2 linked regions of the Mus musculus genome follow. The protein of the gene in region 2 interacts with the protein of the main gene of each other region in a biochemical or structural test. Links are inferred from orthologs where the notes say so. Each region holds a gene or a part of one and is shown on either strand. Other genes may lie near its edges.

The links.
Region 1: the proteins of Klkb1 (region 2) and Kng2 form a complex in vitro, tested with the Homo sapiens proteins (4 studies listed by BioGRID). The link is inferred for Mus musculus from reciprocal best matches to the Homo sapiens genes KLKB1 and KNG1.

The regions. Positions count from the first base shown.
Region 1 is NC_000082.6:22,994,503-22,998,323, forward strand, and holds part of Kng2 (kininogen 2 isoform 2 precursor), read right to left. Parts: intron 2,817-3,821; coding exon 2,709-2,816; intron 2,608-2,708; coding exon 2,521-2,607; intron 1-2,520. UniProt on the Homo sapiens protein: Kininogens are inhibitors of thiol proteases.
Region 2 is NC_000074.6:45,274,024-45,277,844, forward strand, and holds part of Klkb1 (plasma kallikrein preproprotein), read right to left. Parts: intron 3,062-3,821; coding exon 2,952-3,061; intron 2,390-2,951; coding exon 2,227-2,389; intron 2,132-2,226; coding exon 2,019-2,131; intron 1,554-2,018; coding exon 1,385-1,553; intron 1-1,384. UniProt on the Homo sapiens protein: Participates in the surface-dependent activation of blood coagulation. Activates, in a reciprocal reaction, coagulation factor XII/F12 after binding to negatively charged surfaces.

The sequences.
Region 1 (3,821 bases), on a different chromosome or scaffold from region 2:
AACGAGTTAGAAAGGGGAATCTGCAAATTCATCTGGAATAACAAAAAATCTAGGATAGCAAAAACTCTTCTCAAGGATAAAAGAACCTCTGGTGGAATCACCATGCCTGACCTAAAGCTGTAGTACAGAGCAATTGTGATAAAAAACTGCATGATACTGGTATAGCAACAGACAAGTAGACCAATGGAATAGAATTGAAGACCCAGAAATGAATCCACACACCTATGGTCACTTGATCTTTGACAAGGGAGCAAAAACCATCCGATGGAAAAGAGACAGCATCTTCAATAAATGGTGCTGGCATAACTGGTGGTTATCATGTAGAAGAATGCGAATTGATCCATTCCTATCTCCTTGGACTAAGGTCAAATCTAAGTGTTTTAAGGAACTCCACATAAAACCAGAGACACTGAAACTTACTGAGGAGAAAGTAGGGAAAACCCTCGAAAATATGGGCACAGGAGAAAAATTCCTGAATAGAACAGTAATGGCTTGTGCTATAAGATCAAGAATCAACAAATGGGACCTCATAAAACTGCAAAGCTTCTGTAAGGCAAAAGACACTGTCAATAAGACAAAAAGGCCACCAACAGATTGGGAAAGGATCTTTACCTATCCTAAATCATATAGGGGACTAATATCCAATATATATATAAAGAACTCAAGAAGGTGGACTCTAGTAAATCAAATAACCCCATTAAAAAATGGAGCTCAGAGCTAAACAAATAATTCTCACCCGAGGAATACTGAATGGCTGAGAAGCACCTGAAAAAATGTTCAGCATCCTTAATCATCAGAGAAATGCAAATCAAAACAACCCTGAGATTCAATCTCACACTAGTCAGAATGGATAAGATCAAAACTTCAGGTGACAGCAGATGCTGGCAAGGATGTGGAGAAAGAGGAACACTCCTCTATTGTTGGTGGGATTGCAAGCTTGTACAACCACTCTGGAAATCAGTCTGGCGGTTCCTCAGAAAACTGGATATAGTACTACCGGAGGATTCTGCAATACCTCTCCTGGGCATATATCCAGAAGATGTTCCAACCGGTAAGAAGGACACATGCTCCACTATGTTCATAGCAGCCTTATTTATAATAGCCAGAAGCTGGAAAGAACCCAGATGCCCCTCAACAGAGGAATGGATACAGAAAATATGGTTTTACACAATGGAGTACTACTCAGCTATTAAAAAGAAGGATTTTATGAAATTCCTAGGCAAATGATGGAGCTGGAGGGTATCATCCTGAGTGAGGTAACCCAATCACAAAGGAACTCACACAATATGTACTCACTGATAAGTGGATATTAGCCCAGAAACTTAGGATACCCAAGATATAGGATACAATTTGCTAAACGCATGAAATTCAAGAAGAATGAAGACCAAAGTGTGGACACTTTGCCCCTTCTTAGAATTGGGAACAAAACACCCATGGAAGGAGTTACAGAGACAAAGCTTTGAGCTGTGTCAAAAGGATGGACCCTCTAGAGCCTGCCATATCCAGGGTTCCATCCCATAATCAGCCTCCAAACGCTGACACCATTGCATATACTAGAAAGATTTTGCTGAAAGGACCCAGATATACCTGTGTCTTGTGAGACTATGCAGGGGCCTAGCAAACACAGAAGTGTATGCTCACAGTCAGCCTTTGGATGGATCACAGGGCTCCCAATGGAGGAGCTAGAGAAAGTAGCCAAGGAGCTAAAGGGATCTGCAACCCTATAGGTAGAACAACATTATGAACTAACCAGTACCCCGGAGCTCTTGACTCTAGCTGCATATGTATCAAAATATGGCCTAGTCGGCCATCACTGGAAAGAGAGGCCCATTGGACTTGCAAACTTTATATGCCCCAGTACAGGGGAACGGCAGGGCCAAAAAGTGGAGGGGGTGGGTAGAGGAGTGGGTGGGAGGGTATGGGGGGACTTTTGGGATAGCATTGGAAATGTAAATGAGGAAAATACCTAATTAAAAAAAATAAACACATAATAAAGAAAAAAAAAGTAATGATGCCCTAGGCACATTGATTCTTAAAAAGACGATGCAGAGTGTTGCCTCTCAGATTTGAATCATGTGTGGACCCCTTGACGACTGTTTTAAAGTGCATTTTGGTATTCATTTAACTATGGAAGGGGAGTGAATCCATGTTTCTTCAATACTTCAATGCAAGTACTTCAGTGCACAGTACTTCAATACTTCAGTACTTTAATGCACAGAGCAGAACCCAGCACACAGTAGTGCTAAGGACTCGGGTGTATCTTGGAGTCGTGTGGCTCGTGATAGTGCCCTGGTCTTCTCCTCACTACCAGGCAGGGAACGCTGACAATGAGCTAAGTGACTGAATGGTTACCTGTTTTCTTTCCCAGCCATAAAACACAAGATCAGCATAGATATGTACAACTTCTTACGGGTTTAAAAGAGCAGCCCCTCCCCCAGTTATTTCAGTAATGATTCATGTTCAATATTGCTTTTTGGAATAGACAGAACTGACCCCAAGCTGACAATACTCCAATCCTACCTTATCTAATGCTTGGCATTTCACAGTCGGGATGACTTTGTTCTCCCAAGGTCTCATGTACACGTTAGCATTGCAGTCGAGACTTTGCTAATCATGAAAACAGAAGACAAGAGAAAATAAATCAGCATTAGTCATGAGGCCCATGAGCAAGTGACCTTAGAGTGTCACACAGGGACAGTGCTACTCACTCCAAGGTGCTTGATCTCACAATCTTCTGTCAGCTCTGTGTTACTTTCCTTGGAACATTTGGTTTCTCTGGCTATGAACTCAATAACATAATTAGTTCCTGCTACCACCTGTAAAGTTAATAGTACAAGACAAATATTTAATGAGGATTTCCATAACAAATTGCACTTTTTTACTTCAGTGTGGTCAAAGTTAGAATCTGGAAATTTTAAATATTTCCTGACCATCTTAGAAAGTTACACTGTCCTTGTAGTGTGACTACAAGTACAAAATTCTCTACAAGGTGCACATATCTGATACAACGTTTTGTTTGTATGTATATCTAAGATTTCTGGGTATTAGTTGGGTCAGCTTACTTCACTGAGTAAAAGAAATACAGGGTAACCTTTCACTTTAATATTCACGTACTAATTTAAAAGTTCATAAGCTATAAACCACACCTACCAAGTAACTCAAGGGCTTAAATTTTACTACAATCTGAGGTATGAGAAGAAACACTTAAAATATTTTCTTGAAATATTTTTTGTTGTCTCTCTGCTAAATACTGAATCAGAAAATCCGTGTGTAGTTTAAATTATCCAGTTAGGAAAATATTTAGATTATCTATTACTTTTCATATATTTTTAAGATTAAGTAACCTCTTAAATCTTTAAACAAACCAGTTGTTGGTGGAACATGCCTGTAATCCCAGCACTGGGGAGGCAGAGGAAGGTAGATCTTTGTGAGTTCATGGCCAGCCTGGTCTAGAGAGTGAATTTCAAGTCAGTCTGGACTGTATAGTGAGATACTTTCTAAAAAAATTTTTCAAAAGTAGTTAGGAACATATCTAACCAAATGATTCAAAGACTATTACAATAAAATTCTCTACAGTAAAACGTCTACATATAGGCAAAGGAAATTACAGAAGATACTAGACAATGGAAATATTATGCATGGTCCTGGATAGGCAAAATTAATAGTGTGAAAATGTTTGTACTACCACAATTAATATACAGAATTAATGCAATACCTATAAAAATTCCCATGTCATATGTCATAGGCTTAGAAAAAATACATGAATTTATATGAAACCACAAAAGACCAAATGGCCAAATCCGTCCTAAGGAGTAAGACAA
Region 2 (3,821 bases):
GAATAATGGGCTTGTTTATTTCCACATAAATAATTAAAACATGTCTAAGTATTTCATACTAAAAGACGAAGAACAACCTCAATGTTTTTAGGAGTTCCTTAATTTTTTACTTTTATAACTGATAAAGCTGAGAAGCACCACTTCACATAAATGTGGAGAACCAAATGATAGTCTTAGATTAAGGACGGTTTAGAAAGTTTTGGAAACTCTAATATCCAAGCCCAAGTTCATTCAATGAGTTTTTATGAAACTCAACTAACCAGCTGGAGCAACACTGAAAATCAGAGTTTAACACTGTACAATCCAAAGACACACTGTGACAAGAGACATCTTAATGTTTTTTTTTAAATTGTTTAAAATTATACTGTTATGTTCCTGTAAGAGCAGAAATCCTAAGGCACACATACCACACACACCAGTTTCACACCATTAAAGAATCCTCAGTCTGATTGATTGGGTTTAGGGTACCATCTGCTGGTACTACGCAGCCTGGCGATATGCACAGTGCACAGTAAGCATGATGTTGTGTGTCAGGAACAAAGGCTGCAGAGGAATCCTCAGACACAGCACAGGAGAGGGCTCTCAGAATGCCTCGGGTTTGTCATACTTTTTATTGTGGATTCATTTTTATCAGTGTCCCTTCAGGGACCCTTTACTGTTGCTAAAATCTTGGAAGACGCTCATATTCTGTTGCACTGTGTTCCTAAAGGATTACAGTTCACAGTATAAACGCTGTGGCTGGAAACACTCAAGACGTACTTAAAAATTACTTTCTGTTTATTTCAAGTAAGAGCACAGGAGTGCTTCTGTGCCTTTTGAAGAACCTTTGGGAGAATCAGGTTCAGTCTACCAACCCCAAAAACAGTTGCTCTCATTATCCGAGCCTTCATGTAGCTGTACTGATTAAAATAAGCCCCAGCAGGAATTAAAGGTATTTTGTTGCTTAAAAATCTACCTACCTTTCCTTTGAATTTTAAATTAACCACGTAAAGGATATACAGGCTGAATTTAAAATTATAATATTTTCTAGGCAAGGACTTTGAAACTTTTCTTGTCCTAAAAACAAATATCTCAGGGCCAAGGAGATGGCAGAGTGGGCAAAGGGCTTGGTTCTCAAACCTGAGGATTCAAGTTCAGATCCCCAACCCAGAACTAGGGCTAAGGATGTACCAGGAGACAGAGACAGGCAGATACCTATCTGTCTAGTCAAAAAGGTTAGCACTAGGTTCAGTGAATTACCCTATCTCAACAAATAAGATGAACAAGCAGTACAAGTAGATACCCGAGATTAACCTCTACATGCACACACACACACACACACACACACACACACACACACACACACACACACACATTGGTATAATAAGATGACCCTGAAACTTACCCATCAAAGCAATGGGCAGCTGTCAGTACCCATTGGCGACCAATGATGGACCCTCCACACAAATGGGTCTGAGATACCAGCTTCACTTGCAGGCTGACCTGCCATGGCCACTCCCCTAAAGAAGCGTTTGTTCCTCCCACAATACGTGCATTTATTTTTGTTGTACAGTCTGAAAAGTGTTGAGATGTGGCAGGATTAGACACAGATAAGCATTCTTTCCCTTTATCCAAGGAAACTGTCTTAGTTAGGGTTTCACGGCTGTGAACAGACACCATGACCAAGGACAAGTTTTAATTGGGGCTGGCTTACAGGTTTCAGAGGTTCAGTCCACTATCATCAAGGTGGGAACATGGCAGCATGCAGGCAGACTTGGTTCAGGAGGAGCTGAGAATTCTACACCTTAATCTGAAGGCTGCTAGCAGAATACTGACTTCCAGACAGCTAGGATGAGGGTCTTAAAGCCCACACCCACAGTGACACACCTACTCCAACAGGGTCACACCTTCTGATAGTGCCACTCCCATATACAAACCATAACAGAAACCATATAAACAATCCCATCACATAAGACCAAGACATTAATCACAACAGCCAAGCCAGCCATGCAGTTCCGTAACAAACGAACCTCACTCACCAGGGCTGTCCACAAGTTTACACAATCTCAGAGAATAACCGGAGCTCCCCTGCATGCCATAGGTGATCCTAGTTGGGGAGCCATCTGTGGATAACCTTAAGGAACATTTACACCTGGAAATAAATGAACAGTCTAAAATTAAACCCCCACACAGGGAGAAAACTAGAAAACAATTACCTTGCTGATCATCAAAGAAAGGTTTCCTTACCCCTCCTCCTTGCAGTCTTGGGGGAGTAAGGAGTAAATAAAAAACTGGCAGCGGATTGTCTTTGTACAAGTCTCTTGGCAGACATCTGCTCCTTGCACGAAGGTCACATTCAGTTCTTCCCCTTCAAAGTCAACTCCAGAGTAAATTTTGGAATGGCAGGGTTCTGCACCATACACAAATATCAAAGGATATATCACAAGTCAGGAAACGAGTCACATTGGCAAAGTTTCTAGAGTCGTGAGAACCATTTCATTAACTCTTAGAGGACCCCAAGATGTGCTGCACCATGTGGCTGTTAGTGTTTGTCAACTTGATACAAAATAGAGTCACCTGAAAAGATGGACCATCAGTCTGAGAATCGTCTTCCTCAGACTAACTTATAGGCATGTCTGTGGGATGTTCTTTGGATTAATGATGGATGGAAGAGGGTCCGTCTAACCAGGTCAGTGTCAATTCTGGGCAGGTAGCATGAATATATATATATATATATATATATTCACAGAAGCAAGCTAAGAAGCAACATTTCTCCATGGTCTCTGCCCAGTCCCTGCCTCTGCTTCTGCTTGAGTTTCTAGCCTGACTTCCCTCAGGAATCAGCTATGACTGGGACATGTGAACAAAACAAACTCCTTTCTCTCCCAACTTGCTTTTGGTCATAGTATTTATCAAGCAACCAAGAACCAAACCCGGACACATGCCATGTGCCACTAAGATTGAGTCATTACCAGGGCGAGTTTTTCTGCAGGTGAGGAGACTATATCCAGATATAGCGTTTTCTTGAGGAATAGGGGGACTTGGTCTTCCACTTTTAGACGTCTTAAGAAAACAAACATTTCTATTAAAAATAAATGAGAAAGAAGAAGAAGACAGCATTAGAAGCACTAGACAGACCTACCTTCCTTCCTTCCTTTCTTTCTTTCTTTCTTTCTTTCTTTCTTTCTTTCTTTCTTTCTTTCTTTCTTTCTCTTTCTCTTTCTCTCTCTCTCTCTCTCTCTCTCTCCTTCCTTCTTTCCTTCCTTCCTTCCTTCCTTCCTTCCTTCCTTCCTTCCTTCCTTCCTTCCTTCCTTCCTTCCTCTCTAAGCAACTCCATAAATGGTATTCTTCTGAGAAATTATTTTCAGTCAGTCAGACTGCAAGACTCCAAAAATATCACAGGGCTTAAATGTAAGTAGAGTCACCTCTCCCTCTGGCAAAAAATACCTGGTAGGTACAGACATCCAGAAAAGAGGACAGAGGATTAAAGTCCACCTTCTAATTAGAAAAAGGAAAAAGAGAAGGCATCAAAAGACTGTTGGTTTGGATTTATGCTACCCATGGTATTATGTCCACACACATCCTTCTGCAGGCCCCACGGCGTACATAAAGGAAATGCTGTGTAAAGATGAAGAGGTCAGACTAGACCCTAGATCTGGATAAGCAGGGCTCTGGTTTCTCACAAGATTAAAGGACAGTTTGCATGAGCAGCTGTAACCCAAGCCAATCCCAAACCTTAATGCCAGTGAGAATGCTTCCTGCTCCCTTCTGCCTCTGCCGCTGTGGTTTGACTAAATAGTAGGCTTGTTTTATGGAAGGGAAGAATTTGTTAATCTGTGAAG